Linked DNA regions of Astyanax mexicanus. The protein of the gene in region 1 interacts with the protein of each later gene in a pairwise test. Links are inferred from orthologs where the notes say so. Each region holds a gene or a part of one and is shown on either strand. Other genes may lie near its edges. The genes, in order: nav2b, ing5a and rbm15.

Region 1 (10,721 bases):
AGAAATAAACATTGCAGAGGGCTCAAAGGCATCAGGGACAGACCATAACACAGTGGAAACTTATATGTAGTGGCGTAAAGAATCAGTATTTCAGATCTTATCTTTGTTTTGGAAAAAAAAGATGACTTGAGCTTTGGGACAGAGAAAAAAAGGACCATCCAGACTGTTATCAGCAACAAGTGCAATAGGAAAGGTCTGTCATGGAATTGATTTGTGTCAGAACTTCTATGATGGTAGAATTAATGCAGAAATATTCCCTTTAGAGCAACATATGCCTGTTTTAAAGCAGTCTTTCCCGGGGCATCCAGCATTATTAAACAAGATAATGCAAAAACAAAGCCTGGGCTGGTTGTAGCAAAGCCAAAATGTGAAAAGGCAACCCTGTTCTGTTGTACACCTTTGGGTACATATGCAGGTAGAATATGACAAAACAACACCTGAAACACTTCAGTGCTTGGTGTCATTATTTTCAAATTATATATTTTAAGTGATGTGAGAAGGAATGACAATATTGCAAAGCAGTGAATACACTCCTGATAAAAATCTTGAGGCCAGTTTAAAATGGCAAGAATTTGCGCTTTATCTTACTTATATTATCTTAAGAAGGTTATAAGTAGTGCTTCACAACCAAAAAAAAAGAAATTGGTGCAAGAGTCAAAAACTTTTGAGCAACCTGTTTATTGACAAATGTGTTTACCGTATTTTTCGGACTATAAGGCGCACTTAAAATCCTTTCATTTTCCCTAAAACTGTCAGTGCGCCTTATAATCTGATGCACTTTATGTATGAATTCTACCAGTCAGGTATTAAGGAGCAGTAAAACCACTCCACTGAAGTACAGCTTTTTAAGGGTGAGTTTTCAGTGAAGTTTCTATAACACTAAGGCTGGGTGCAGCAGCATTAGCATTAGCATTAGCCTCTAACAGCAGCGCTAGCTCTTTCGGCATTCAGAGACGAGTATATTTGACTGTAGTCTGCAGCTTTTTGCAGTTTACTGTGTCAAAACAAGCTATGTGGGACAAACTGCTAGCTGATAGCTCCCTGGGTTTCCAGAATTCGATGTGTACCAGTTAATGATTTGTGCTAATTAATGATTATGTGATTATTTTAGTACTTGTTAGCTACATTAGCCTTGTTGCTGCTCTCAAAAAAAAGGAACATCAGACACCAAACATGCCATGGACAGTCATGTGGGAAAGATATGCTAGATCTTCAGCCCTAAATTACTTTCAGACCAGGTTTGCTAGGTGTATGGTGTTTTTATACCTGCTACTGTTGCTATTTTGGTGCACAGCACTAATACACAAAATGTGCTTCCCTCCGGAGGAGTCTCTGAGGTTTGAACCACCAAACCCATCACAGCTCTGTCAAATTGGTTCCACATTGCAAATTGTTTTTATTTGAAGCATCAGCTTAGCAACCCACACCTACCACCCGCAGTTATTGTGGTGTGTTTTTTTAATACGCTTCCCTTTGCCATATTTCCCATGATGTTATTTTATGATCCGGCCTCCGCTTTGTTTGTTTCTCCTGTTTCAGCCTTGGAGGTCTGATTCTGAGAGTTTCCTTTTTTATTTTCTCGACCACACCAAGCTTGTTTCATACTGATGGAATTATTCTGCTGCTTCTGCTGAGTGCTCTGGCTGTTTAGGGCATGGTTATGAGTTTGCGAATATTCTAAATTTAGAATACACTTGATTGAGCCCAAATCTTTTTATGGTCCAGTATACTATAGAAGTTTAGAATACAGTGCCCTGGAACCTGTTGCCAGTTCACTGGTTGACCTTCCTTGAAGTGCTTTCAGTAGATACTGACCACTGCAAACTAGGAACACCCCATAATACCTGCTTGAAATGTTTGTCTCTTTTCAGAGTTTCTCAGATTTTCATGCTTCCGAAGAGATAAAAAGGTTTTGCACAACAGTGACAACATGTACAGTGGTTTGAAAAAGTTTGGGCACCCCTGATCATTTTAATCATGATTTTCCTTTATAAATAATTGGTTGTTCAGTTCAGCAATTTCAGTTAAATATATCATATAGCAGATGAACACAGTAATATAATGTTTGAGAAGTGAAATGAAGTTCATAGGATTTACAGAAAGTGTGCAGAAATCCTTTATACTAAATTAGGCAGGTGCCTAAATTTGGGTGACTTTTTTGGGGTCGTTTTATTGATTTGAATACATTTAGCACTAATTATTGGTACACAAAATTAGTTTGGTAAGATTATTGACCCTTGACCTACATACACCAATTATGAGAAAGGGTTAAGGTTTCCAATTGCATGTTTTCTCCTCTTTGCATCTTCTCTGAACTGTGTCAACATGGGAGCCTCAAAACACAACTCTCAAATGACCTGAAAAAAAAAGATTGTTCAACATCATGGTTTAGTGAAAGGATACAAAAAGCTCTCTTAGAGATTTTAGCTGTCAGTTTTCACTGTGAGGAAGTTTTCATAGTGAGAAAATAGACAATTGAAGACCACAGACACAGTTCTAGTTAAGGACTCAAGTGGCAGAATAAGAAAAATCTCAGATAATCAGAGGAGAAGGATGGTGAGAACAGTCATAATGAACTTGCGGACCTCCAGAGCTCCACACACCTACAACATCATGCATCCTGCTGCAGATGGTGTCACTGTGCATCGTTCAACTATTCAGCGCATTTTGCACAAGGAGAGGCTGTATGGGAGAGTAATTAATGCAGAAGAAGCCTTTTCTGTGCACACGCCACAAACAGAGTCGCTTCAGGTATGCTAAAGCTAAAGCACATTTGGACGAGCCAGCTTCATTTTGGAATAAGGTGCTGTGGACTGATGAATTTAGAATTAAGAGTAAGTTGGAGGGCAGTATGCATGGTGGGAAAAGAACAAACAGCTATTGCACACTTTGGGTAAATCATATAAGCTTTATTTCACTTCTTAAATATCACTGTGTTCTTCTGCTGTATGATATATTTAACTGAAATTGCTAATCCAAACAACTAATGATTTATAGAGGAAAATCTCTTTTATACCACTGTACATTCAGCTACATATTAAGGTCTTGGGTCTTCACAAACCACCAAAAGAACATCAGTTTTCCTCAGTACTTTGCTTCTGTTACTATCTGGAGTTAAAAGTTCTTTCCTCAGCTGGTGTTTTGGTTCTGGATGTGGAAAGTGCTGACTAACATGCTCACTCAAACATCTCACATAGGTGTTTAAGTAGGTTGAGATCTGTTGACTGTGAAAGTTATAGCACATGATTTACATCGTTTTCATATTCCTCAAACTCTTTAGTGACCTCTGCTCCTGCATTTAGCACTAATGCACATCGTCAGGGTCACTGAGTGTACTGGTTGACTCATAACTCATAAACCTGTTTATTATTGAGTTTATTTTTTATTTTTTTCCCATAGATCTAAATGCAGAGGTCAGTCTAGGTCCTGGCGTTGTTTGTTCCTTGTTCAATCTGTGCCCTAAGATTAAATGAACAAAAAAAAAGGTCAACTGGTTCTGCTTTGTGTAATTTGAAATTTTTTGAAAATTTAACATAACTTAAATACTACCATAATTTGAGATCTTTTAAGTTGATTAAATCAAACTAAATACAAAACTCGTGTGTGAGTTTGATCAACTTTGATCAGTTTTGAGTTAAGGTGAGTTGATTCAGTTGAGTAATCCTGGCGCTGATGAGTAAACCACCTTTCCTATTGGCTCCTGGGACCATCAATTTGCATACTGGGTGTGCATATCTACCCCACCTTTACTCACCATCAACGTGAAGTCACATTGACTACCTTGAGTTGAGGCTACCTTTCTCAACTCCAGACCTTATAGATCTTATATAAGATCTATAACTTTCAGAATTCCAGTTTCTGGTCATGGATTTTATTTGATAGAAGTTAAGAGAACAGTTATTGGCTACAATAATTGATTGGCTAGTGTGACATCAGCAAAAAAATAAAAATCCTAATGTCTTGTGCATGCATACAAGTGTACTGTTGGTGTGCACATAGTTTAGTGTGTTATTTAAGCTCAAATAATTTAATTTTAGTGGTTGAAGATTTTTGTTTTTCTCAAACAATTTGAGTTTACTTAACTTATGAGGTTTCACAGTGCACATACCATCTGTGTCGTATGCTTGAATTTACTGTGCAGATATTTTTTGCTTGTCATGTTGATCCAGAATAAAGGTAAACATGTTTTCATTGGCAACAGAATATGGTGGATGTGCATAATTTTTTTTTCCCCACCACTCCAGGCATGCGTGATAACTCTACAGTACCATTTAGGTGCTCTTAACTGTGGTGCTGTTAAAGTTTCTGAGGCTGATAACTCTGATAAATTTATTCTGAATGAATATATTTTGGGGTGGTCTGACTCCTGATGAGAGCCAGTTTCACCAGTTTCATGTTTTTTTGATGTTCTTTAAAAACTGCACTTGATGATACTTTAAAATTGATTGACCTTCAAAGTATTTTTTTCTTTACTTAGTTGAGTAGTTCTTGCTTCTCATAATCTGGATTAGAACATTACTCAAATAGGGCTATTCACTGTATAACAATGTTTGATGCTCTCAAACACATTAAGAGGCAAACAATTCTTAAGACAAGAAATGAATTCTTGTCGAGTTTAGCACAGCTGTTAACTGAAAGCCTGAATTCTGGGTGACTCTACCTCATAAAGCTGACTGAGACAATCCAGCCAATATGTGCACATTTTTTATAGATTGGATGACTGGATAATTATCCAATGCGATGGATAGATGGTATTTTCAAATGGTCTCTTTAAGACATATTAAAAAAGTACTTTTTGACTGTATACAGGGAGGTTTTGGATTGTTGGTGGGTTTCTGTTTCTAGCCTGGCAGAGATTATTACTGAGCTCAATCTCTAGCCTACAGGAAGTGCTGCCCGAGCACAATTTTATCTCCCCCAGCTAAGGCTGTGGGTGCATAAACAAACACTCTCTCAGCATGGTGAAGGAAGTGTGACCAGGTATAGGAATTCCCCCGCAATCTTCCCCAGCTCCAGTTTATTGTAAGAAAGCGTTAGTATTTCAGCCTCTTAGCTTTGCGGCACTCTTTCCTATTACCAGTTAAGCCACTTCAGAGGGGATTATGAAACCCTTGTGTTTTGGTTAACCCAAATTGTCAGCATTAGAGCTCATTCCCACAGTGAATCTTGGTGTTTAGCAGCTTTCTGTCGGTTAGTGAATGCATGGTTGGAAAATTCTTCAACACTTAAGATATATCCTAAAACCCCTGTCATTTTAGTGTGGGAGGTTTCATGGCTAAATTGGAGCAGCATGGTGGCCAATCTTCATTAATTGCACATTGCCCCAGTAAGAGCAGAGTGTGAAGGTTCAATTAGCACGGTAAGAGCACAGTTTTGCTCAAAATATTGCAATGCACACAACATTATGGGTGACATACCAGAGTTCAAAAGAGGACAAATTGTTGGTGCACGTCTTGCTGCCGCATCTGTGACCAAGACAGCAAGTCTTTGTGATGCATCAAGAGCCACGGTATCCAGGGTAATGTCAGCATACCACCAAGAAGGACCAACCACATCCAACAGGATTAACTGTGGATGCTGTAAGAGGAAGCTGTCTGAAAGGGATGTTCGGGTGCTAACCCGGATTGTATTAAAAAAAAAAAACGTAAAACCACGGCTGTCCAAATCACGACAGAATTCAATGTGCACCTCAACTCTCCTGTTTCCACCAGAACTGTCCGTCAGGACAATAAATTATTGTGGTCTAAAACCAAGTGTTTCAGTTTCATTGTCCAACCCATGTATATGGGATTTATTGAGTTTAAGGTGCTCCCTTGCACCAACTCTCTTGGGATTGCCGACCACAGCAATCAGAAAGGCTGTGGTTGACTGCTGATTCTAACAGCTGATTAGCTTGACACCCAGGAGTGTTAGTCTTGAGCTTTCGTCTAAGACACATCTGCTGCCTCACTAATGGTCTTCCTCTTTAATCCCTCCCGAGCCTGAGGTGTTTACTGACTGTAGCTGCAACTGGAGGCTAGTTAAGCTTGGGCCCACAGATTGATGGTTCTACTCAGATGAGCTGAACTCATCTTCTCTCTTCCTGGCATTTTGGACTTTCTTAAGAAGGAAACTTTATTCTTCCTGGCATTTTGGACTTTCTTAAGAAGGAAACTTCCCTCGAGTGCTCTTCAGAATCTCAGCAGGTACTGGTTTCCTGACTGTTCTTCACTTTCTGAGCCTCAGAGCAGGTGGAATCCAGACTGTAGATTTCTAGACTGCAAGGAAATTGGAAAACGCAGATTCTTGAGACAATTGGAACTGGATATAAGTGTCTACAATGGATTTCTTATTAAACCCTGAGACTCTCCACAAGTCTGCTCAAGTGTGTACGCTGCTGAGGCTTCTCTGAACTGCCTGGGTTTGTGTGTGTGCATTTGAGTGTCTGGGGGCAGTCCACTGACTCGCACCAGCTGTTGAGCCAACAAGCGTGATTGCTCCAAGTACCGCTCCCACTCAAGTCAAGCAGGAGTGTATGTGTGTGTGGTGTATAAGTGTGTGTGCCACTGCCAGCCTCTGGAAGAACGCCACAGCTTTGCGACTCTGCTTGGACAGCAGAAGAGAGGAAAATGCCGGCCATTTTGGTCACCTCCACCATGAAGTCTGGATTGCCCAAGCCTGTCCACAGCGCATTGCCCATTCCCCAGTCTCCCAGCCACAGAAGAACCGGACACAACGGCAGCCCCAAGCTCAGCCATCCCAGCCTCATCCCACTGAGGAGCACCCTCTCCAGGAGACACAGTCAGACTGCAGGAGCGACGCTGAAGAAGAGTCAGACAGTCAAGGAGAAGATCGCCGACCCCCAGGTTTGAGTTCTTTGAGTTCTGAGCTTCTTGTGTTGCTTGTGTTGGAGATGGTTTGTTTTGCAAGTGCGTGCGTGTGTGTGTGTGTGTGTGTGTGTGTGTAAGTGGGTGTAAGGGAGTCAGTTCTGTTATAGTCTGTGTGTGTGTTTGTAAGAGAGAGAGACAGTGTGTGTACAGAAAGGATTATACTTCATTCATAGAAAAACAAGCCAGAAAGTGGAATTGCTATAAATGTTATGAATGAAATGTTATAAAACGTTTTGTGGTTCCAAAGTTTTTGATTAGAGTTAGGTTTGTTTAATCTGATTTGGAAACTTTTTCATCACATACATATACAGCTCTGGAAAAAAAAGAGACCATTAAAAACCTCTGGAATATAATCAAGAGAAAAATGGATGATCACAAGCCATCAAACCAAACTGAACTGCTTGAATTTTTGCACCGGGAGTAAAGCAGCATAAAGTAAGCAAAAGCAGTGTGTAAGACTGGTGGAGGAGAAAATGATGCCAAGAAAAAAACAAGGGTTATTCCACCAAATATTGATTTCTGAACTCATAATACTTAATAAATGTGAACTTGTTTTTTTTTTTTTTTTTTTTGTTTTTGCATTATTTAAGGTCTGAAGGCTCTGCATCTTTTTTTTGTTGTTATTTCAGCCATTTTTTTTTTTTTTTGCAAATAAATGCTCTAAATATCAAGATTTTTTTGTCTGTAGTTTATAGAATAAAACAACAATGGTAATTTTACTCAGACAAATATAACATATAAAGCTAAATCAGAGAAACTGATTCAGAAACTCAAGTGATCTCTTATTTTTTTCCAGAGCTGTATAATATATATTAGCACTACATACCGTACAAGTACAGAGCTATTGCTGCTTTCATTCAAACTTTCATTCAATCTGTGCTATTTTTTTTTGTAATAATGTATATCTGCCAGTTGTTCTTTACATTCTTTCCAAATTTGATGATAATGATTAGACCATAAAAAGGACTTGGACTTCCACTGAAAGTTAAGAATGTTTTTTCTTCTCCCATAAAGTTGCCATTTAGGGGGATAGAGTGAGCTTTGAGGTGGTTTGCTGCACTAGTGGCTTTGGAACTGCTGACCACACCAATCAGAGAGGCTGTCAAAAAGTGAAAAATGTCAAAAATAGAGATAAAAAGGCAAGACAGCGACTGCATGCACTTAAATGTAATGACATGTCCCATGTACGTATATAGTTGCTGTCATGCAAAAAATAGTTTGAGTTCCTTGTATCTCTAAAACTAGCAACTTTACAAGACAAGGAACAAAACGTCCAATGGAAGTTAATGTAAAAGAAGTCATTTTTGGAGTATTTCTATTAGTTCATTCATTATTGCATTTTGAGACAATGGAAAGAGCAACAAGAAGATTCAGATTATGTTAGAAAGGGAAAAAAGGATCACAGATTTACAAAGTTTTTGGTCAGAGAGTGGGAAACATGTGGTACAGTGAATAAGATGCTTCATGCTTATAACTATGAAATTATATATCATTATCATAAAATAGTCTTAAAATAACTATATGAATAATATATTTTATTGCAATGATTTTGAGACAATATATCATCCAAACATTCAAAGTTATGCTGGTGAAGTACTGAAGAGCTTCCTCAGCACTGAAGGGGTTAATCTGCACCTGCAGGCAGTTGTGGCTTTCGTAAAGCTTTGTAGTAGGAGCGCATAGTAATGTTTTAATAAGACTTTGTTTATATATGTGAGTGTGTGTTTTCACAGCTTTCTCAGGGCTTTTTTTCCTGGACGTCCTGTGTAAAAATATGTCCAGCTGTAGTACAGGATCAGCATTATTAGACTGCTTTCATTCACTCACAGGTGCTTAAACGGCCACACAGAGGCTTTACCTGGTTTAGTGTGGGGTTAAATGGAGATTAACACCTTGCTTGAGGTGTTAGTGTGTGTTTTTGTTTGTGTCAGTGTCAGTATGGCAGGTCAGAGACCAAACGTGGGGTATTTAGTTGATGGAAAACCAGCTTTAGGGTCAGTTTGTATGAAATACATTTTGCAGGAGTTTGCTTTTAATTGAAATCAATGCTATTAGATTTTATTATAATATTTTTATTATAATACACTCATTGAAAAAAGGGGTTGGACAATGAAACTGAAACACCTGGTTTTAGACCACAATAATTGATTGTGGTGACGGAGAGTTCTGGTGGAAACAGGAGAGTTGAGGTGCACATTGAATAGTTTTTTGGATACAATCCAGGTTAGCACCCAAACATCCCTTTCAGACAGCTTCCTCTTACAGCGTCCACAGTTAATCCTGTTGGATGTGGTTGGTCCTTCTTGGTGGTATGCTGACATTACCCTGGATACTGCGGCTCTTGATACATCGCAAAGACTTGCTGTCTTGGTCACAGATGCGCCAGCAAGACGTGCACCAACAATTTGTCTCTTTTGAACTCTGTTATGTCTCCCATAATGTTGTGTGCATTGCAATATTTTGAGCAAAACTGTGCTCTTACCCTGCTAATTGAACCTTCACACTCTGCTCTTACTGGTGCAATGTGCAGTGTTACAGTTGAATGCAACTTTATATGAATGAAGTTACTGTGCACAGCTCTGGAAAAAAAAAATAAGAGACCACTTAAAAAAAACTTTGTTTTTACCAAGTTGAAACCTCTGAAGTTATCCAAAATCAGCGTGTAAGACTGGTGGAGGAGAACATGCCAAGACGCTTGAAAACTGTGATTAAAAACCAGGGTTATTTGGTAATTCCAGGTTAATTAGGCAATTCCAGTTTAAAGGGAAGCTGGAGATATTGGAGATATCAGGATTGGTCCTGACAGTGTATAGACCATATTCTAAGTTAGTTTTGTATATCAAACACATCAAAATAGTTCAAATAAAGATTTCTTAAGCTTAGCACTCACACCTCAAAGCACAGGGGGCTCAAACAGGAGCTTTGAAAGCCACGTTTGTTTGAGCTGGACTGCCATGACCTTTGGGTTCCATGCCCGGTGAATAAATTCAGTATATATATTCTGTTGTTTTAAGAATAGACTAGGCAGTTCTGTTCAAATGTGACTTTCTGCCTCATTACACAACTCTACACTGAGCCTCCAGCTGCTCTCTGAGTGTGTGTGTGTGTGTGTGTGTGTGTGTGTGTGTGTGTGTGTGTGTGTGAGTGTGTGTATTTATTCTGCCCCTGCTACAGTGAGGAACTTCACTCTTCATGTGGTTTGGAGGATGAAACACTCGGCCGCCTGGTCTGTCATTATAGTATTACGCACAGAAACACACCAACACACACACACACACACAGCAGTGGAGGTTTTACTACAGTGCTCTATTAGTAGTGGTGTGCCACAGTGCAGGTGGGCGCATGGCCATGTGGGATCCAAGCTCACACACATACACACACATATACACACACACACACTTACACCACTATAGAGCACATCAATGGGAATAGTGCACTGGCACTGATCCAAATACTACTATATAAGCAAGTATAATAGTGTAAATGATCTCACACACACAGACAGACAGACAGTATATCCTCATGTTCTCTAATATAAACCCACATGTGAACCCATCTGCACACATACGAACACGTCCATCACTCACTTGCTTATATAAAGCTCATATTCCGTTGGGTTTTGCACTTCGGTCCCTTTTTAATACTGGCACAAAGTGCTGGAAAACTCAGGGCTGTAAAAATAAAACGTGGTGCAGGGTGTTTTGGTGGGCGACGGCTTTTCGGAGTAAGGCTGCAGTTTCCGACCCGAGCGACTAGCTTGTAAATCCCAGCTAATAATTTGTCGCATAACTCAAATCGTTTATTCTTATTGAAATGAAAGGGGTGAGGGATGGTTGGAAGATGAACTGACTT
Region 2 (10,149 bases), on another chromosome or scaffold:
TTACCTGCATCTGCTCGCTGCAACCGTTCTATCAGGAATTCTCTGATTTTCTCCACCCAGAGGTAAAGAATGCTCTCTCCAACATTTTCCCTGTAATGATAAAACATAAACAATACAACATATAAAGGCACTCTATTTATACACACATGGCATGGTCATTATTATTACATCATTAATGTACGAGTACTCACTCCTAAGAAATATTCAAGTTATTCAAGGGTTCTTAAGTCTACATTAAGTAGGCACCAAATATTCAGCATCTGAAATTATTCGGGTAAAGATCAAACAATAACTAATATATTTCAAGTCATATTGCAGTGTTTCCTCTAGAACCTTTTTTAGCAGTGACAGAAGGTTCCCACTTTGCACCACCAACACCCAACCATCCCCAACTGCAGCAGCAGGCCACAACTGTGGAAACACAATAATGCTGTGGAAACACAATAATGTGCTTTACTGGTGTGTCTGATGGAACACTAAAAATGTTCAGTGTAAATTGTAATTTTGTAATAGCTTTCCTTTAAATACTAGGCTTTTTTTTTTTTTTTCCCCAATAGTGAAAAAAGTGGGGGAATTAATGAAAACCACTAGAATGTCTACAGGTGCCACAGAATGCACATATTGGGCACTGGGTATTTTCTTGAATTAATAAAATTGTTTATGTATATGACTTTGGTTGGGGTGAAAATGCTAACATGAAGCTTTACAAGCCTATTTTGCTTTAAAAGGAAACATGCAGAGTTTTCTTTTACAGAGGGCTCGAGGAAGGCCCACAACCACACATCATGGCTTAGCTTAGCATTCCTTTGTTTTTAGCACTGAAACAAGAAAATTTATTACCATACAGATACCAGATACCTTTGCCAATACCTCCCCAAACTTTGACATAAGTTAGTTGGACAAACTGTAGAACATTAGCTTTTAGCCTTGCACAAATATGTGAGCAATAGAGAAGAGCATCAGAAAAATGCTGTAAATATAAATGTTACTGAATACAGAGTAAGAGATTTGGGAGATGCTTACAGATACAGTTCTTCCAGGCTGTTGCAGATTTTGACTCTGTCTGGTCCTCTTAGCCATCCTGCACTGGAAAATAAATCAAACAAACAAATGTTAGGGCTTAACTGTCAGGTAATGTGTTAGTAATGAAGAACAGTTAGAACTAGAGCTGGCCAAAATAATGATATTTATGATTGAAGTGGTTCATGTTGAACATAATCTTAAAATCTTCACTATATAATAGAGCATTATGTGAGAATTGGGTATTTTTTACACGAGATTCCCCTACAGTCAGGAAGAAGAATGCTTTACACATGCATTTCTGGACAAGCTAAGAGATAAAGAACTGGTAAATGAAGCGAACGAAGCTTGTGGACTATAGCAGTACAGGAATATTATAGGATTTTACACAGATTTATTACATAGATTGTGCAGTGTTACACAGTTCTTTCAAGCATTCTCCTGTTTGATTCACCTAATATTTTCTATTCTAATACTATAGACTACATTATACAGTCAGTTAAGCATCACAATGATTTCAAAGCTGATATTTTAAGCGAAAAATGCTACATAATGCTACGTTAAAGAACACTGGCCAACTACATATTTGCACTACTATGAAAGCAAATAGTTGCTTATTTTGGTCAAATTTGAACAAATAAGACAAACATGATTAAATCAACACTTGACAAGTCCAGCTGCTACTTCAATTCTGTCTACATTTCCACATCTAATCTCCCAGCAAAGAAAAAAATACTGACCATGAAGACAAACACCTGCACCACACCAGCAAATAAGTGCTAATAAAGTGAATCATACACATGGCAGCCTGTGAGAAGCCAAATATATTACTGTTCCTTCTTATTGTCAGACTGAATCAGTGCACAGTCGCTTCAAACACAGCTTTTCCCCCACTGCATTAAGTCTGGTGGCCAAGGACACACAGGCAGGGTCAATGTATCTCAAGTCACAGTCCACTCTCACACACACACAACTCTCCTATTTTTTTCCACCTGTGACTCACAACACACTGTGTTTGAGAATGTGTCAGTCAGATGCACATTAACATTATAAACAGATTTGCAATACTGCACAGAACAGCACAAAAGAGCCACTAGATTGTGTTTTATGTTCTCTATGTGTTCAGATGTTTATCTATTTGTCTTTATGTTGCATGCATTGTCGTTTCACAATCAGTGATCACTGATATGTAAATAAACTCATAAAGCTAGATCATCATCCTCTCACACAAACACACTGCACTTACTTTATCTGGTATATTGGAGGTGCTGAGCTTGGGTAGTCTTCTGGGAGTATGATCTTACAAAAGAAAAACAATATGTGTTTCATGACTTTCAAATAAGTTTATATTATTACACCAGTAACAAAAAATCACATTACGGACATTTTAAACAATCCATGTACATGACCTCAGTCATTTACCTTCATAGTTGATTAAATACAAATAAACTTCACCAAATTGTACCCAGTCACAAATTGACCACTTCATCCATAACAGAAAACCCCACACAACAAATATTCATTAAAAGGTCATTGCGTATTAAAAGGGTGTAACTGCATTAATATCTATTAAACTATCATATATATTCTTCATAAAAAGTCTCACTTGAGATTTAACATAATGATCAAAAATAAACTAAAGAGCTTAAATTTGCTGTTGCAACTAATCCTAATTTTAATCATAAAAATATACTATTAATATTACTATGAATTAGCATAATGCCAATAGTGCTACCACTACTACTAATATTGCAATACTACTAATAACACCACTTACTAACTCTATTTCTGTACTATGAAAGAAAACATAAGTGTTACTTGCAATTTCTGACGTTTGACAACTCTGATGAACTGATCCTGTACAACAAAGGAAAATCTTACTCTTCCTTTTCTGGGGCAGTATAATTTTGTATTGACTGACCTTCAGTTCTTTACTTTTCTTGAGTAGCAGCTCTTGCAATATAACATTACTCTTCACAAAACAATTGATGCGCGAAATTCAAGTAATTAATTAATTAACACAGCAGGGATGGCCATTTAATTAACACAGCAAGGAAGGCCATTTCCAGGTAACTCTACGTCATAAAATTGCCTGAGAAAATACAGCCAAGATGTGAAAAGCTAAGCAAAAGGTATTTTGAAGAATCTAACATACAAAACATATTTGTGTGTTTAAAACGTTTTTGTTTACTAAATAATTCCATATGTTTTCCTTCATAGTTTGGATGACTTTAGTATCAATGTGCAATGCTGAATTTAAGGTGTGGTATTGTAATAATAATAATAATAATAATAATAATAATAATAATAATAATAATAATAATAATAAACTTAGTTATAATTATAATAATATCTAAGTACAAAAGTAAATAAAAGAAAGATTAACGTTGTACCTGCAGACAAACAGACCACCTGGGCTCATAAATATCATCTGATATTTTGATGCAGAATATTCTCGAAGCCTCATCAATCACACACCATTCATCACCGTATATGGAGGAAAGTGCTTCGATCTCTTCAACCTGTGGAAATAACTTTATATCAAAAACGCAGAACACAAGCTTTCATACAAACCCCAACTTCTCACAGCCTCCTCCACACACACATAACTAAACACAGAGAGATTATACAAACTCCTGCCTACCTGAGACTGCAGGTCACTCGAGTTCTCCACGCCTGTGTCCATTTATTTAACACACATATCTGTAAATGAATCCAGTCACACACAGCAAACACTCTCTCACACACTCTCCTCTCACACTCCTGAACCTTTACTGTAGTTCTCTCGCTGCACAGAGTTAGCAGAGGAGATTATTTCCGGGGTCAAACACGAGCTCTGTCAAATGGCCATTAAAGCGCGAGTTATGTAGAATTTTCTATATACGTAATTATTTTGTTACTCTACAATTTCCTGTCGTATATAAGTACGTTATACGTTATATGTTCCACAAAAATGAATGGAGAAACCTAAACACTTAAGTTTGACTGCCTCGGTCCCTATAGGTGGAGAAAGCTGTCAATCACTGTACATCACTCCGCCCTGTTTATTCTCGTCTGTTCTGTGTGTTGTAGAGCTGAAATATTATATACATAACAACACATACATGAGCAATTCTTTATTACAATTAAAGTTTTGTAGTTTTATTATTTTTTTATTTGCAGATGTGCCAAAATAGACGCAAACACGATTTAGAGCTACCAAAGGGATTTTATTTTGCAATAAAAATTCTATATAAAACAAAGTAGCTCCCTTCAACCGTCCAAGCAGCTTTTATACTGAACAAGGTGCAAAAACAACCACCTTATATCAGTCAAAACATAAAAATCACTGCTACATAAAAGTTCTTCACAGGTTTCTGAAAGAAGCACAATCTACTGAGATTCCCCATGGCAGGATATATATGTCTATAGATGTACAATAATAAATACCTCATTTTAAAATTATTTTAAACCCGTAATTTGATTAATAAAAATAACCTTGATAATTAAGCAATACAATGTTTACCATTTGCAATGACTCTTCACTCTCATCAGTACTCTAGCTAGCTTTAAATAAACATTTTAAATTAATCAAATACATGTATTACCCTCTCTGTTATGTCCTGAGCCATAGAAAGGTTACTGGCTGCAATTGGTCTTCTTATAGATTTAAAATTATTATTTTTTAATTGATACAAATCTTTTGAAAGGATGATTTGAGTTTTTTAGTTAAGTGGTTTAAATCAGTTTTTTTAAGTATTTTAAAGTATTTAAGTTTATTAAAGTTTATTTTTTAAACAAATATCTTATTCCTCTATGGTTCATTACATGTGTATATGCATATACATACATAAATGTATTTATTAAATCAATTAAAAATAAATATTTTTAATATAATAATCATTTAAAATAACGTAATAAGCCAAACCCCAAAAGTATCCAATCAGAGGAAAGAATGCAAAACCACAACGTCTCAACCAATGGGAACGATGCGGGTCATGAATTATTAATAAGATGCCAATGTTGTTCTGGATCACGCGTTGAGAAAAACATTAAATCTCTGTATTCTTTTAAAGGGTTGGAATAATGGCGACAGCTATTTACCTCGAACACTACCTGGACAGTAAGTATAAATGAAACCGTGTGGTTATTATGGTTAGATGTTTAAATGTCTGAGGCTGCGCTGTTTTTGGCGGCCCAGCGAGCTGCTGCTGCTGCTGCTTGTGGCGTAAGCGAGATAACCGAGCTAATGTGGCTAAGCTAATCTCAGATCGCTAAAGTCTTGGTACGAAAACAGGGAAACTATAAGCAGTTTCTGGATATTTCCTACAGCTTTAAGACCAGTGACCGACTTGTTTGTCTACAAGTTATATTTTAGATTAAAGTGAAGCGGATTAAATGTACAGTGGGGGATTTTACCCGCTAGTTTAGCTTTAGCCGCGTTAGCATGGGCCGGCCTAGGTTAGCTAGCTATGGCGAAAGTTTGGCAGCCGTGCCTGAAACTTTAGGCAGGACTCATATGTTTACGTTTTCCCTAAATTTAAGTTTAATAAATAACCTAGTTACCGCATTCACTGTAACACGGTTAATCTGGCTAGTATATCTGTTCTGCGTCCACTAACGATAATCAGCACTGTTGACGCAGTTATGTGAAAATTTTTATTGATCATTGATATTGACATACACTAGTTAGCGTTAGTTTAGTTAGTAAGTAGGGCTGGGCGATATGGATTAAAAATGTTATCGCGATATTTTTTTTTACCAGAAAGTCGCTATACGATAACGTTATATACCTCGATATATTTCCTTTCCATATGGTAATAACAAAAAGAATCTTTGAGACAAAACTAACGTTACATGTTCCAAATTTTATACATGCACTTTAAAATTCAGCTGTAGAGTGAACATGAGATATACTCTAGAGATGGAAAGATCAATTGGTTATGTATCCATAACCATACTGGGAACTGGAAGAAGAGAGGCAAACTGTTAGAGCTAGTTAGAACATAACATATTCTATATCGATATATAAACGATATGTTTCATCTTATACAGCTCTGGAAAAACCCAAGACTGCTTACAAATGATGAGTTTCTTTGATTTTACCAAATTGAAAACCTCTGACATATTATCAAGAGGAAGATGGATGATCACAAGTCATCAAACCAAACTGAAATGCTTACATTTTTGCACCAGGAGTGGCATAAAGTTATTTAAAAGCAGTGTGTAAGACTGGTGAAGAAGAACATGCCAAGATGCATGAAAACTGTGATTTAAAGGGGGGGTTATTCCACCAAATATTGATTTCTAAACTCTTAAAACTTTATGAATATGAACTTGTGCTCTTTGCATTATTTGAGGTCTGAAAGCTGTGCATATTTTTTGTTATTTCAGCCATTTCTCATTTTCTCCAAATACATGCTCTAAATGTCAATATTTTTATTTGGAATTTGGGAGAAATATTGTCTGTAGTTTATAGAATAAAACAACAATGTTCATTTTCCTCAACCATATACATATAAATAGCAAAATCATAGAAACTGATTCAGATACTGAAGTGGTCTCTGTCAACAATATTAGTGATCCTTAAAACTTGATATATATTACCCAGCCATATTAGTAAGTATACTACTGTTTATAAACATCTCTTCTAATTAGCTAGCTAATAAAACATTCGGCTACTTTTAGTTTCTTGTTGCCCATTGCTGTCACAAATGTGCAAATGCACCCACATACATAGCTTTTCTATTTTATGTGGGGAAAGTACTGCCAATAGAATAGAACTTTCTGGAACAGATAAACATGAACCTATGTTTGCCATTCATTTTTTTACAGCAATGCTTCAAAGTCTTTTTTAATAGAACTTTTATTTTTGTCTAAAATACGAATGAGTATTTTTGAAGTCTTAAAGCAGCACTGATGTATTGTTTCTTTAATAATAACATTCAAAAGAAAAGGGATTTTTAGCTACACATTTTTGTCTTTAAAAGTATCTAAATAATCTTGACTACATTTCTCAAATAAAATTAAATAAAAAGATTACCCCACAAAGTTTAAAAAGCAGTCAAAAATGTATTTGAATGTTTGTGTGAGCAAATTAATTATTAGGTACTGCCCACCTCTGTAAGTTTGCTTTGCCAATGAGGAAAATTTCATGTCATTTCATGATGTGCATATTATATAGGATATATTACTTTATTTTAAAAACAATATCTGTTATTTCAGGCATTGAGAATTTGCCATGTGAACTGCAGAGAAATTTTACACTCATGAGGGAGCTGGACAACAGGACAGAGGGTAAGTCTAAATAGGGCTGATCTATAAATCAGTATCAATATGTACAGTTACCTCCAAAAGTATTGGAAAAGTAAGACCAACCCATTTATATTGCTGTAGACTGAAAACGTTTGGGTTTGACAAAAAACAACTAAGAAAAAATATCATTATTTCAGCTTTTATTTCCAGGTATTTACATCTGGATCTGATAAATTGTTCAGAAGATGGCACCGTTTATCTGAACCCACCATTTGACACCAACAGACAAAATTAAACTATAGTGAATACGTTTTTATATTTAGTTGCAAATCCTTTGGTTGCAATAATTGCATCAGGTCTGTGTCCCATTGATATCACTAAACCTTTGCTTTCTATTTTTGTGATGCTTTTCCAGACAGTCTGTTTTTGTTGTTGCATGATGAACAATCTCCCCATCAGTTTGGTTTTATTTTTCTTCAAATAACAGATACATGTTTCTGTAGACTTCTGAGTTAACAGTACAGCACTGTCCTGTCTGTTAAATTGTCTCATCTGTTGTATTTCTTGTATTTATTGTAATGTTACACTTTTGCACTTTGTTAGTCTATTGTATTGTTTCCATGTTGCACTATGGTTCCAGGGGAACGTAATTTCATTACACTGTGTACGTGTACTTGGATTTAATGACAATAAAAGTCCCTTAACCTGATTGCCTTGATATCAATGACGATTAATAAGCCTCTCATAGAGGAGGCCATGCAAGCCCAAGCCACGACATAACCTCCATAACATCTTTCAGTTCCAGATATAAAAACTGAAATTTATATATTTTTTCTCATTCATCTTTTAATGTCAAACCCAAATATTTTCAGTTTACAGCAATAATAAATGGATCAACTCTACTGTTCCAATACTTTTTGAGGGGACTGTATGTATTGTGATAGAAATGTCTTAATAACAATCATAACTTTTTTTTTTTTTTTAAATACACATTTCCAATATTTCATTGTGTAATTTATTATTATTTTCAGCATGTGTTATTGGCTGGTGTTCATTACAGACAGCATTACACAAATTTGACTTTTGTTCTGTGCTTTTTTCTATTGTTCATATCAATATTGGAATTATGTCTTATCAGCCAAAATTAATAAAAATATATTGTACTATAAAGTCTGCAGTCATGCAGTGCTCATGTTGTCTGAGCACAGTGTTGTTCAGTCCTGAATACGGCTTTTATAATTTAGTTTAAGCATGTTTTGTTTTCTCTTTTTCATTTTAGAAAAGAAAGGAGAGATCGATAAGCTTGCAGAAGAGTATATAAAAAATGTACGGAACCTCGCATCCGAGCAGAGGGTGGAGCACCTGCAGAAAATCCAAAATGCTTACAGCAAATGTAAAGAATTCAGCGATGACAAAGTGCAGCTTGCTATGCAGACATATGAAATGGTAAGTGACTGCATATTGATTTCTGTCTTCCAAAGCAACAAAATCAACAGCTGTATTTTATATATTAATCAATACTAATGCTTTCTAGGTTGACAAGCACATTCGGAGACTAGACGCAGACCTGGCACGCTTTGAGAATGAGCTGAAGGAGAAGCTGGATGTCGGGGGCTATGAGAGTCCAGATACTAGAGCACTCAAAAGTAAGTAGTTGGTACAGTGACTATAAAACATTGTAAACTGGACATGTTCCTTCCTGATTGCAGAAACTAGGATCAGGATTATCTATCCTAGTTGTGACACTAAAAATAATTCCATGGAAGTTAGATTTCTGCAAAGCAAGGCCTTTAGAGATGCATTTTTTGAAACCACAAATGACTGGGTAGCATGCTCTGTCGTTTTATCTCAGTCTGATGTAATATTGCTGAACCAGATTGTGTCTGCCTCTCCAATATCTTAAAAAAAACATTATTATTATTTAATGATTGCTTTAAACAAACAAGTAAATGTATTAATGTATTTCATCGAAATGGAATTCTTCTTTTTTTTCTTATTTTACAGAAGGAGGTGGGCGGGGACTTAAAGAAAAACGAGGACCCAAAGGCAGAGGAAGAAAATGCTCGGATGATGACTCACCCAGAAAGAAGAAAATGAAAAACAGGTTATTATTTTTATTTATAAAATAAAAGTTGATAAATAAAAGTTTAATTTAAATATTTTCAGATTCATTGCCTAGTGTTGTTTAGTTACTGTGGTAACTGTGTATCTATCACAGTTTGAAGTTTCTTTTTTTTTATCTTACACATTCATCATGAAGTCACATTTTCTAAAGCTGTGGTAAATATTAATAAGTCTTATGTTTCATTTCTTTTTTTCTCAGTAATGAATTCTCAGACTCGCTCTTACCAGTACACCCATCCGATGTTCTGGACATGCCAGTGGATCCCAATGAGCCCACATACTGTCTGTGCCACCAAGTCTCATATGGAGAAATGATCGGCTGTGACAACCCAGACGTAAGCCTAATATATTACTTCTCTCTGTTTGTGGTTTAAATAAAATGTATTATTACTATTTAGTAATAAGACCCATGGAAATGTGCTATTTTTGTTTCATTAAAAGCATATGTACTATTCAGAAGCAAAATACATATTTATATAGTGTATATATATATTGTTTTTACTTTACATCAGTCCATATCAATTTACCTCCTTTTCTTTTGTAAATAGTGTCCAATTGAGTGGTTTCACTTTGCTTGTGTGGATCTCACAACCAAACCCAAAGGGAAATGGTAGGTCATTTATATGTGTAGTTAATTCTGATAAGACAGAGAACCAAATAGCTTAAATCTAAAAAGAAGCACATCTGTACACTGATACTAACATACTTTTTTTAATGTTTAGGTTTTGTCCACGGTGCACCCAGGATCGGAAGAAGAAATAAGATTTCTAT
Region 3 (10,967 bases), on another chromosome or scaffold:
GTCTGCCCTCTGTACTGAAAAAAGAACAGTAGCACTAAAGCCATTGAGGCAAAGTAAGAGCTAATTTTTACTAATTTAATGTAATTTAGAACATTTTTAATGTTTAATTTTAATTTTACTGTTTAAGAATGGTTTATGAAGTAAAAAGGTCAATGTGAAATAAAAAAAAATACACACAAACTTCCAATGTAATGAAAATAAAAATCAATTATTAAATAATTTTGTTAATTCGCTATATAGATTAATTTGCTATATAGATTTCATAGTAAAAAACATCACTGTAGTTAAATCAGGTCTGAAAGGGTTAAACTAAGGTACAAATTTTAAGTAAGAATGATTAAGATAACTATCCCTAAAATAAGCTAAATAATCTAACACTTACAATGCTTAGTAAGAAAAAAAAGTCTTATCACAAAAATTAAGATTTATTGCCTTAAATTTAGAAAATTTCACTTGCTAAGATTTAGTTTTTTGCAGTGCAGGTAGGAGAGTGTAATAGAGTGGAGGATCTGATCCACTCACTGTATCACCAGCACAACACACACTAACACCTCATACACCACCACCATGCTAATCACTGCTAATCACTGCAGTGCTGAGAATAAATTACCCACCACCCAAATAATAATAATAATAATAATAATAATAATAATAATAATAATAATAATAATAATAATAATAATAATAATAATAATAATAATAATAGCTGCTTTGTGGTGGTTTTCTCTCCTGTGGGGTTCTGATCATTAAAGAAGAACAGGGTAAAAGAGGATAATAATAAAGTATCCAGAGAAATAGATACAGAACTACATTCTGTAATTATAAAATTACTCATATAGTATATGATCAGTAGAGCTAATAAGATTGATAACGATAATTGATAATGGTCATAATGTTATGCTTGATCTGTGTATTGTCACTCTCATGCAAAAAGCTTGTATCTCCATTAAGAGCGTGTGATATGGTCCTAAAATAATATTATGAAACTTCAAGAATATACTACTGCCTCCAAAAACTTGTCAAAGTGTTATTTAGTATAAAAGTTTTAAACATTCAGTAGAAACAAATAAAATCTGTAAACATTTCTTATTTTTGTACACAGCAGTAGGAAGATGATAATTTAACGATAAATATTGTATTGTAAATTATGTAATGTACCAAATAAATATACCACAAAACAATGCAAACATTAAAAAATATACAAAATATCTTTAAAGCTTCACAATAAATAGCAAAACAAATACAAAATAGGCTGTTTTTAAGACAATACCAATATCGAATCACAATATGGATTATTTTTTATTGTTTAAAATATTGCATAGGTTTTTATTTTGTGAATGATACAATATTACACACCTCTATTCTTAGTTTTTGCATTTTTTTTATATGTACTAAAAGAATATGAATATGGCAGTTGTTTCATTCTTCCCATTGCGTTAAACTGTCCTATTAAACGGATCATTTTGCAAAAAAAAAAAATCCATTTAAAAATTAAGATATTGTTGTTCAACTCCTGTAAAGTTGCTGTTTTGGAGATACAAGGTTTTTGGTACTGTACATTTGTATGACGATATGCTGTTTTTCTAACAGGTAAATGTTTTTTTTTCCTCATCTTGTGCATAATTGTATATAAACTCTGTATGAACCAGAACAGAATGACATTTTTGTAAAACAAAAAAAAATATTTAAAGTTGCTAATCTCATATGTTAAATGAATGTATGCTGAGTTTTTACATTAGTATGAATATTAATAAATGGCTTTTATATTTCACTCCTTTTGTTTTTCTAACCCCAGGAAGAAGAACAGTTAAAATGTTTTAATAGACAATTTAGTTTATTGCTGCCTCAAATATATATGAAACATATAAAGCTAATTGTATTGTTGTAGTTTTCCTTTAGGCTTTAAGCTGCTAAATCATTAAAACATCCCCTTTGGTATTCTTGAAAGCAGCACATAATTTATAGCAACTGTGGATGTTGTGTTTTAATGGCTTTAGTCTGTGTGATTAATGTCTGACCATATTGTGACCATATTTTTTCTGCAGAGCTGTTCGAGTGTTTGAGCAGTGTCTGAAGGGGAAGTGTCACACTGTAAGACTGTTGTTGTAAATCAAAAGGACTGCAGAAAGGAACCCGTACAACCAAAAATGTAATTAAATTAAAGCAAAGCAACATGGGTCCTCACCAGCACTGAAGAAGTGAAGAAGCTGTAATGCAGCATTTAAAATACAGATCAGTTTCTGAATCAGTTTCAGAGTCTGAATCAGTGTTGTTTTATTTTATAAACTACAGACTTCCAAATTCCAAATAAAAATATTGTCATTTAGAGCATTTATTTGCAGAAAATGAGAAACAACTGAAATAACAAAAATGATGCAGAGCTTTCAGACCTCAAATAATGCAAAGAAAACAAGTTCATATTTATATATAAGTTTTAAGAGTTCAGAAATCAATATTTGGTGGAATAACCCTGGTTTTTAATCACAGTTTCCATCTTGGCATGTTCTCCTCCACCAGTCTTACACACTGCTTTTGGATAACTTTATGCCTTTACACTCCTGCTGCAAGGATTCAAGCAGTTCAGTTGGGTTTGATGGCTTGTGATCATCCATCTTCCTCCTGATTATATTACAGAGGTTTTTAATTTGGTAAAATCAAAGAAACCCATAATTTTTTGGTGGTCTCTTATTTTTTTCAAGAGCTGTATATCTGCATCATTGATTAACATTGTACTATTAGGTACTACATCATATATAATCCACAGGTAGAGCATTTAGGAGCATTTAACCAAACATTTTATTGTGTTTTCTCATCTGTAGAAAAAAACTGTAGAACACAGCATCCCATCACATTTTCTCTGATGGAAAGAAAACCATTTGGGACACTATCTAGTAAGTGTGCCATAGAGTGCACTAGAAGAGCAGGAGGGCACCCATAGATATGCATTCATTAAACACAAACACTCACTTCCTCTGGTTTTAAATTACATTCTCTAAGAATCTGTCAGAAAGGAAGTGGTTCAACTCTAATACAAGAGGTTTAGTTTATCTGAAGTAAACCACTGCGGAAAAACAAATCAAGCCGTCTGGAGGCCTGGACCACTTGCTTTCAGTCCTGTTTCTGGGAGACCAGACTTTTAGAAAAAATGACAGTAAACTCAACTGTACCTTTAGAGGTCCACCACTTGGCATGGGGTGGTACCATCAACTTAACTTAAATCAACTAAACCCAACTATAACCTAACCAATCCCAGCTAAACCCATAAACTAAAACCTTTAAACTACTTTCTGTTGGCTTAGGAAACATTCTTATAGAAAATTTTACTTAAGGTGCAGATAAAAACAACTTTTTTCCAGTCCCAAAAGAACCAAAAGAAATGACCCAGCTATCAAACATACTCCTTTTATTTAAGCTAAACTGCTGATAAGGCACAGTTTAAAATTTGATATATTAGCCAGATAATGCTAATTACCACAGCTAGGAACAAATGCTGTCTCTGCTGCTGCTCCGTGCTGTTTACACGCACTGTGTGTGCTGTGTTCACTGCTCGCAGCTGCACAACTCTGTTTACTGTACATCTGCACTGCATATCAAAAACGCTGTGTTTGAAAGCACTGCGCCAAATCTTCAGCATCCTGTGTTAAAGCAGCTTCACACTGCACAGATATCTGCACTGAAACACAGAATCTTCTCGATATATTTTGTTTTTATTTCTCCCACACCAGACAGCTCTGACCAATCAGAGGACACAATGTGCCCACGTGGTTTATTGGTGCGTATTTTGGTGAGTTTAGGTTTATGCCTGTGTGAAACCAAACCCAACAGAGGGAGAAAACGCTCCAAGTAAATGAACTCATCAAATGATCCGGATCATAGAAACCAAATACACACGTAGATTTTAGTTAAGTTAAAAATCTTCTTTATTAAGATATTGTGATTGAATTTGTCCTCTACACAAAAGTCCAACTAAATGGTAAAGGGTTCAGTATAGTATAAAAATATCTAAAAATAATAAAATACGATACAATACAATAAGAATAAAAAATGTTAATCAGTGAATTAAATACATTATGCATGATACTGTCATGCCCAAAGAGGAGTAGTATTGTAGATTTTATAAAACCTTGTGTCGGGCATTAAATCCAAAAATACTGTATTAGGATTCATAAATTATATAAAATAATGTTTTGAATTGGTTTTGGTTTATAAATGAATAAAATATCATTGCTATGTACAATGAACTTTTTAAGGGGAGCTAAAAATGCTCTTAAACCTGACATCTAGCTAGCTACCAGTAGACATGGCAAAAGTAATGGCACCCAATACTACAGGTGGTTCCTGACACATGATACAGTCATGGGCGTGGTAGTGGGGGGAAAAGTGGACCTGACTACCCAGGGCCCGAGTAGGGAGAGGGGCCCATGAAAATCCTGATTTTTTTTCGCTCACTTTCCTTTGTTTACTGGCATGGATAGGGGCCCATTAACATAGAGGGTGTACAGGGCCCAGAATTTGCTGCTACGCCCCTGGATACAGTATGTGACATGTTAATGCATTGTAGTGTATTGTATGTGTGGAAATAAACACATTAGAATCAGGGTGGTTCAGTGCATTGTTTTTATTCATTATATAAAACAAACATTCCAGCAGCATCCAGACCAGCTAAATACAGCTACAGGGGTGGTAGAACATCCACAGCAGATGTGACAAGGCCTGAAGCGTGCTGGTGCTGTGTGAGACAGCTCCATCTGCATCTAATGACCGCATGCCAGTTCTGTCAGACACTTTTTTTAGGACAAGCTGCCTAATTTAGATAACATCTGAGATGTAGCTCTTTAGCTCTTTTCCAGGCTGAGAAACAGAGCTAAACAGCTGCAGTTACAACCTGTTCAAAGCCACTGTCATCTTACCCCACTCTCCAAACGCACAGCGGTGGAGGATTGTTTTAGGGCGAGTATTTGTTACCACGTCTTTCCACCGAATCTTCAGCATGACAGCAGAGCAGAACCACATTAAGTGCCAGTCTAGCACACCATGTCGTGTTTTTAAGAGAGCTGACATGTGTTTCCAATAGAGCCGAGAGAGAGCGAGGCTGTCAGAAACACTCTCCACACCCACAGCTTTGAATTCCAGCCCGGCCCGTCGAGACAGCACGGCCTGATACAGCCACAAAGGCAAACTGATTAGGGCCCAGATTACGTGAATGAGATAAGCAGATAAAGGAAAAGAAAATAATAAGAATCACTGATCAGAAAAGCAGTGCAGTGGAGTCAAGTTTACTGAATGTTTCTGGAAGTTTTTAGAGCATTTTATTTAACGATTTTAAACATTCTGGTAACATTGCTAGAACATCATTGTGTGTTTTCTCCCATTTTTCTCCCAATTTAACTAAACCAATGATCCCACCCATTCAGCTGCTGCTATATCCCCCATCACAGGTGATGCCACACAACATAAAATCAAAAACCTGCAGCAAAGCTTACAAGAAATGTGTTTACATTTTACATATTGCTCATTTAATAAATACCTATACCTAATAAATAATTCTGGGTTCAATCAAATTAGGTCATTTTACAGTTCAGTTGCAAGGAAATAATAAAGTAATATTGACTCAATTTACATCTTTATCATATAAAATGTCATCTCACATATCCAAGTATATTTTGATTAAATTCTCTAGCATTTTGTGAGATATATAAACTATAAAAAATAGCCACATAGTGGTTCATTTTCTTCTTTTTTTTGCCTAATTATTTGTAGCCAACACAGAATACATTTTATTATTATTAAAGTATTATTATTATTAATATTTATTTAAAATTTATTTAAAAACGTATTTACTGGTCTAGAGCTGTATACAGAATACAGGCGGCGACATCTACTGAACATAAAATGAACTGCTATTAAATGCTGCATTGCCTCTAGCAGAGGTCAAATATTTTAAATAAACCAAAATAAACCGTTTTTACACATCTTGCTGCACAATTTAAGCCTTCGTATCATTATATATAAACTTTATTATAGATCAAATGCGTGAAAATTCCTTTTAAACGTTAAAAAAAGGCTGAAAGTTGAATTATTTAAACGTCCTTTCTGAGGGCTCATTTCCGCATGCCACGAGGGCTAGGCGAGAGCTGGGCCAAAGAAACTATAGAGAGGAGATCAGTCATTTTAGCACGTCTTCTGGCTTTGTTCAACCAGCAGAGGGCGCTTCTGAGTGAGCTCAAAATGAATGGGTTCTTATGGAGCAATGGATCAAAATAGGATATTATAAATGTCTGATCATTTTTTAATGGGAAACAAATTCTCATTTCCTCTAAACAAAACTATATAAAATGTTTTAACAGCGCAGAAACAGTGTAAACTGCAGTTATACAGCTTTTAAACGTGTTCTCTGACTGTATCTCCAACATCAGCTCAGTGATCTCACAAACAATAGCAGCAATGCTAGCGTTTTTACTGAGTGAAACATGCTTGCTGTGGACAAATCGAAACATAAATATATGTTTGTTTTACGTTTTTAGCGAAATACGTGAATATATTTTCTGAAATTAAATTAAAATGTTGAAGAAGTAGTTGGACAATGTTTTAATTTGTGTTTTTAGCCGTTTAGCCCCACTCAGTCCCATTCATTTAAGACTCCCTCGCGGGCTCCCTCTATCGGTTGCTCTAGAGTAACGCTACTGACACATCCGTCAGAGATTTGAAGTGGGCAGGCACGCTATAATCCAGTTTTAGCTGGGCGTTGTTCTGAGTTTGTGATTGACGTGAGTTTCAGCCAATAGAAACAAGCGCTCGCAGACATTCCAACCAATCATATTGCTCGGGCGAGGTACGCCCGCCCGACTCGCCTGAGTTAGCGTTAGCTAGGTTTGCTAGTGTGTGTTGAAGCTGTGGAGACAAGATGGCGAATGCAGTTGTTTTGCTGCGGGAATGATTCAGGGCGGATTTTCGTAGTTTTTTCGTTTAAATCTGCGTAACTAGGGTGTAGTTTATACAAGTTGTGAGTGTTTATTAGGCCAGGCGCAGGTTTAAAGTGCTCGACATGAAAGGGAAAGAGCGTTCCCCCGTGAAAAAGCGATCGAGGGCGCTGGATGATCTGCGAGACCGCGGAGGGAGCCACCCGAGCAGTAAGAAAATGGGGGTGATTTCCATGTCCGGAGGGAGCAACAACGGCAACAGTTCCTCCAAAAGCGAGGGAGGTTCAGCGAGAAGGAGCCTTCTAGGCGATAAAAGAGACAGTAGGGACTTTGACGGACATGTTTCCAGCCGCGCCGGGAACAGCTACACCAGCCCCAACTCGAAGAACCACAACTCGGGCCTGTCGCTGGAGGCAGTCGCCGCCGCCGCTGCTAGGGGCAACTCGCGGGCCGAGCCGCGGACTCCGCTCCCCGCCAACGACAGTGAGTACAAAACGCTGAAAATCAGCGAGCTAGGCTCACAATTAAGCGACGAGGAGATCGAGGACGGGCTTTTCCACGAATTCAAGAAATTCGGCGACGTAAGCGTGAAGATTAGCCGCGTAAACGACGAGAGAATCGCGTTTGTGAACTTTAGGAGGCCTGACGACGCCCGGGCCGCCAAGCACGCCCGCGGCCGCCTAGTGCTGTACGACCGCCCTCTGAAAATCGAGGCCGTGTACATGAACCGGAGGAGAAGCCGCAGCCCGGTGGACAAGGACCATTTCCCAGCAGTGGCTGGCCACAGACATTTACACACCCAGAGGCCTCTCTCCCCTACTGGGCTCGGCTACAGAGACTACAGGTTACAGCAGCTCGCTCTGGGCCGCCTTCCTCCACCCCCTCCCCCTCCTCTACCCAGAGAGCTGGAGAGAGAGAGGGAGTTTGCCTTCTATGAAGCAAGAGCCGCCAGGCCTGCCTACATCGCTGAGAGGGCTGCTGCTGCTGCCGCTGCCTTCAGAGAAGAGGACTTCATCTCTCCAGAGGACGACCAAAGAGCCAACAGAACTTTATTCCTGGGTAACTTGGACATTACAGTCACAGAAAGCGATTTGAGGAGGGCGTTTGATCGTTTTGGGACCATTACAGAGGTGGACATCAAGAGACCTACGCGTGGCCAGAACAGCACATATGGCTTTCTCAAGTTTGAGAATTTGGACATGGCCCACAGAGCTAAGATCAGCATGTCTGGAAAGGTGGTGGGCAGAAACGCCATAAAAATCGGCTATGGCAAGGCCACGCCAACCACACGCCTTTGGGTGGGTGGCCTAGGGCTTTGGGTTCCTCTAGCTGCTTTAGCGAGGGAGTTTGATCGCTTTGGCACCATTAGGACTATAGACTACAGAAAAGGTGACACGTGGGCGTACATCCAGTATGAAAGCTTGGATGCAGCTCAGGCAGCCTGCACTCACATGCGTGGATTTCCTCTGGGAGGTCCAGACAGAAGGCTGAGGGTGGACTTTGCAGACACTGAGCACAGATACCAGCAGCAGTTCTTGCAGCCGCTTCCTCTGCCACACTATGACCTCGTGGCGGAGTCTTTCGTCCACCGTGCCACTCCTGAAGCAATCAGGGTCAGAGAAAGGACTCCACCACCACTGCACTTTAGAGAACGGGAGCTGTATGCTGGGGCTGAGTGGCCAGCCCCTGCTATTCGTGAAAGAGTAAGGACTCCTGCTTTCGAACCTCTAGAGCACTTGGAGAGAGAACGCCGTCCAAGAGAGCCCTGGTCCCTGGAGCGTGAGCTGCCTGGCAGGGATGCTGCTCGCAAACGGCGCCTACTAGAGGATGGGCGCCACCTGGAATGCTCACCTGACAGCAGCAGCGAGTGGGCGGCACGACGCAGGAGACCACCTTCTCTGGAGGGCAGCCCTGGAGGCAGCAGCCGTGATGGGCGTTTAAGTGACTCAGAGCGTCCGCTTCGAGCAGAGCGGCCGTCCCCAGCCAGAGAACGCCGCAGCAGCCTGGACAGAGGACCTGCAGAAAAGCGCCTCAAGAGCAGCAGCAGCCTGTCAGAGTCCGGCATCGGAACAAGCCCATCTGAGAGAAAGCGCAAAGCAGGAGAAGCAAGCAAAGGCCCCTCTAAAAGAGACAGAGCTGAGGGCAGCTCCAAAGGCAGCCAGTCATCTAAGCAAGATTCAGGAGGAAAGCTGAGCATGGCCTGGAACGGCATGCTCCTCCTGAAAAACAGCAACTTTCCAGCCAGCATGCACATCCTGGATGGTGACCTCAGCGTGGCCAGCAGTCTCCTCGTCGACGGCAGCACCGGAGGCAAGGTCACCCAGCTCCGCATCACCCAGCGCCTTCGCCTCGACCAGCCCAAGATGGATGAGGTGTCTCGCCGCATCAAAGTCGCAGGCCCGGGCGGGTATGCGGTTCTCCTGGCAGTTCCTGGCAGCTCCGAGGACACGACGTCGTCATCCTCCTCCTCAGCAGATCCAGCAGCATCGACGCAGCGTCCCCTGCGAAACCTGGTCTCCTACCTGAAGCAAAAGCAGGCAGCCGGGGTCATCAGCCTACCTGTCGGGGGCAGTCGCGATAAGGACAACACGGGGGTACTGCATGCCTTTCCGCCCTGTGATTTCTCTCAGCAGTTCTTAGATTCCTCTGCGAAAGCTCTTGCCAAAACAGAAGAGGACTACCTGGTCATGATTATCGTCCGCGGAGCATCTTAACAATCAGAACACACCAAAAAAATGCATTGTAAAAAAAAAAAAAGAAAAAAAAAATGTGTCTCAATTGTGCATGCTCTGTTAAGCCTGGTGCAGCAAATTCTAGTTTAAATGGGTTAAAGTGGGTTTGTGTCATCTGTTCTGCCAAATGCAATGCATGGGGATAAAACATGCCACACTCAGATAGCTGAATTGGTTTCCTTATCGCAATATTTGCTTATCATTACAAGTTATGAGTCTTTTGTCCAAACTAAATCATCTTTGTGCAAAGCTGTATTATAAGAGTGGTTGATAAAAAGGCAGACATAGAATTAGAAAATTAAATATTTGCCAGAATATTCTGTACTGTTATAAATCCTATACTTTTTTGCATAGAAGTTTAGACTACAAGCGGTTGCCCTTACAAGTAATAACACAGATGTTGATTGATTCATGTCGTTATGTTCATTTTTCTGATTTAAAAGGTAAAGGTAATTGACTTCTTGTGACTTAATGCTTGAAACAATCACTTAACGAGTCAGTGATAAGGTGTAACATAGGCCTAGGTGTGTAGTTCTGTAGCCACCTACAGCAGTCAAGATCTTTCTCACGTAGAAACTGCATGTTTTCTCCATTGTCCTGTTTTGAAACTGTTGCACAGGTATTTCACGTTCAGAGTTCTGCATAATAATACAGGCTAATGTTGTATACAGTGATAGACACACAATGTACCTTAGTATTAAAATGTTCATCAGTGTGGAACTGGACAAAAAGAGCTACTGAGGCTACAAATTATTGATTTGTGTCAGATTTTATTATACCCAGGACCTCTTAAAACATGAATATTTGGTTTAATTTGAGCTACATCTTTTAATTTTACATGTTTATAAAAGGTACAGTAAGTTGAGTGCATATTAAGTTTATAATTTCAAAAGGTTAAAGATAAAGGTTTCTGCTGTGTGAAGCATATTGATCAGTGTGAGATATGGTATACTGTGTCTTTCTTTTCCTTCCTAAAGTCATTTAAATTTGTAGTAAAATCTAGTCATTTGAGACATTTCCCATTTTATAATTTGAGTTTTTCTCTTCTCCCACACTGAGTACACGATAATCTCTGTTAAAGATTGGTGATTTAATCAGTCCCTGGTTTCCATTAATTTCAGTGCTGTTGGTATTATCATTAATTATTTAAAATAATTATTATTATGCCATCAAGTTTTTAGTAATTATAGCTTTGGAATGCACTCAAATATTTCACAAATCTGGTCTTTTCATTTACATTTTTGTCAACACAGTTTTTGCCAAGGTTTTGTTGTTTTTCCCACATTAATGTAATTCAGGAAGATATGATGATCCT

What was found.
Region 2: the proteins of nav2b (region 1) and ing5a interact in binary tests that used the Homo sapiens proteins (3 or more experiments, as listed by UniProt). The two-hybrid records come from large-scale screens. The link is inferred for Astyanax mexicanus from reciprocal best matches to the Homo sapiens genes NAV2 and ING5.
Region 3: the proteins of nav2b (region 1) and rbm15 interact in binary tests that used the Homo sapiens proteins (3 or more experiments, as listed by UniProt). The two-hybrid records come from large-scale screens. The link is inferred for Astyanax mexicanus from reciprocal best matches to the Homo sapiens genes NAV2 and RBM15.

Annotation. Positions count from the first base shown.
Region 1 is NC_064417.1:6,271,477-6,282,197, forward strand, and holds the start of nav2b (neuron navigator 2), read left to right. Parts: upstream 1-6,029; 5' UTR 6,030-6,608; coding exon 6,609-6,845; intron 6,846-10,721. UniProt on the Homo sapiens protein: Possesses 3' to 5' helicase activity and exonuclease activity. Involved in neuronal development, specifically in the development of different sensory organs.
Region 2 is NC_064423.1:28,854,318-28,864,466, forward strand, and holds the start of ing5a (inhibitor of growth protein 5a), read left to right. Parts: upstream 1-4,984; 5' UTR 4,985-5,085; coding exon 5,086-5,122; intron 5,123-7,224; coding exon 7,225-7,296; intron 7,297-8,533; coding exon 8,534-8,700; intron 8,701-8,788; coding exon 8,789-8,900; intron 8,901-9,258; coding exon 9,259-9,358; intron 9,359-9,577; coding exon 9,578-9,713; intron 9,714-9,926; coding exon 9,927-9,988; intron 9,989-10,100; coding exon 10,101-10,140; 3' UTR 10,141-10,149. Other genes in the region: protein IMPACT, read right to left, coding at 5-90, 1,024-1,086, 2,267-2,319, 3,414-3,542, 3,665-3,706. UniProt on the Homo sapiens protein: Component of the HBO1 complex, which specifically mediates acetylation of histone H3 at 'Lys-14' (H3K14ac) and, to a lower extent, acetylation of histone H4. Component of the MOZ/MORF complex which has a histone H3 acetyltransferase activity.
Region 3 is NC_064419.1:41,295,513-41,306,479, reverse strand, and holds the start of rbm15 (RNA-binding protein 15), read left to right. Parts: upstream 1-6,863; 5' UTR 6,864-7,045; coding exon 7,046-9,634; 3' UTR 9,635-10,967. UniProt on the Homo sapiens protein: RNA-binding protein that acts as a key regulator of N6-methyladenosine (m6A) methylation of RNAs, thereby regulating different processes, such as hematopoietic cell homeostasis, alternative splicing of mRNAs and X chromosome inactivation mediated by Xist RNA.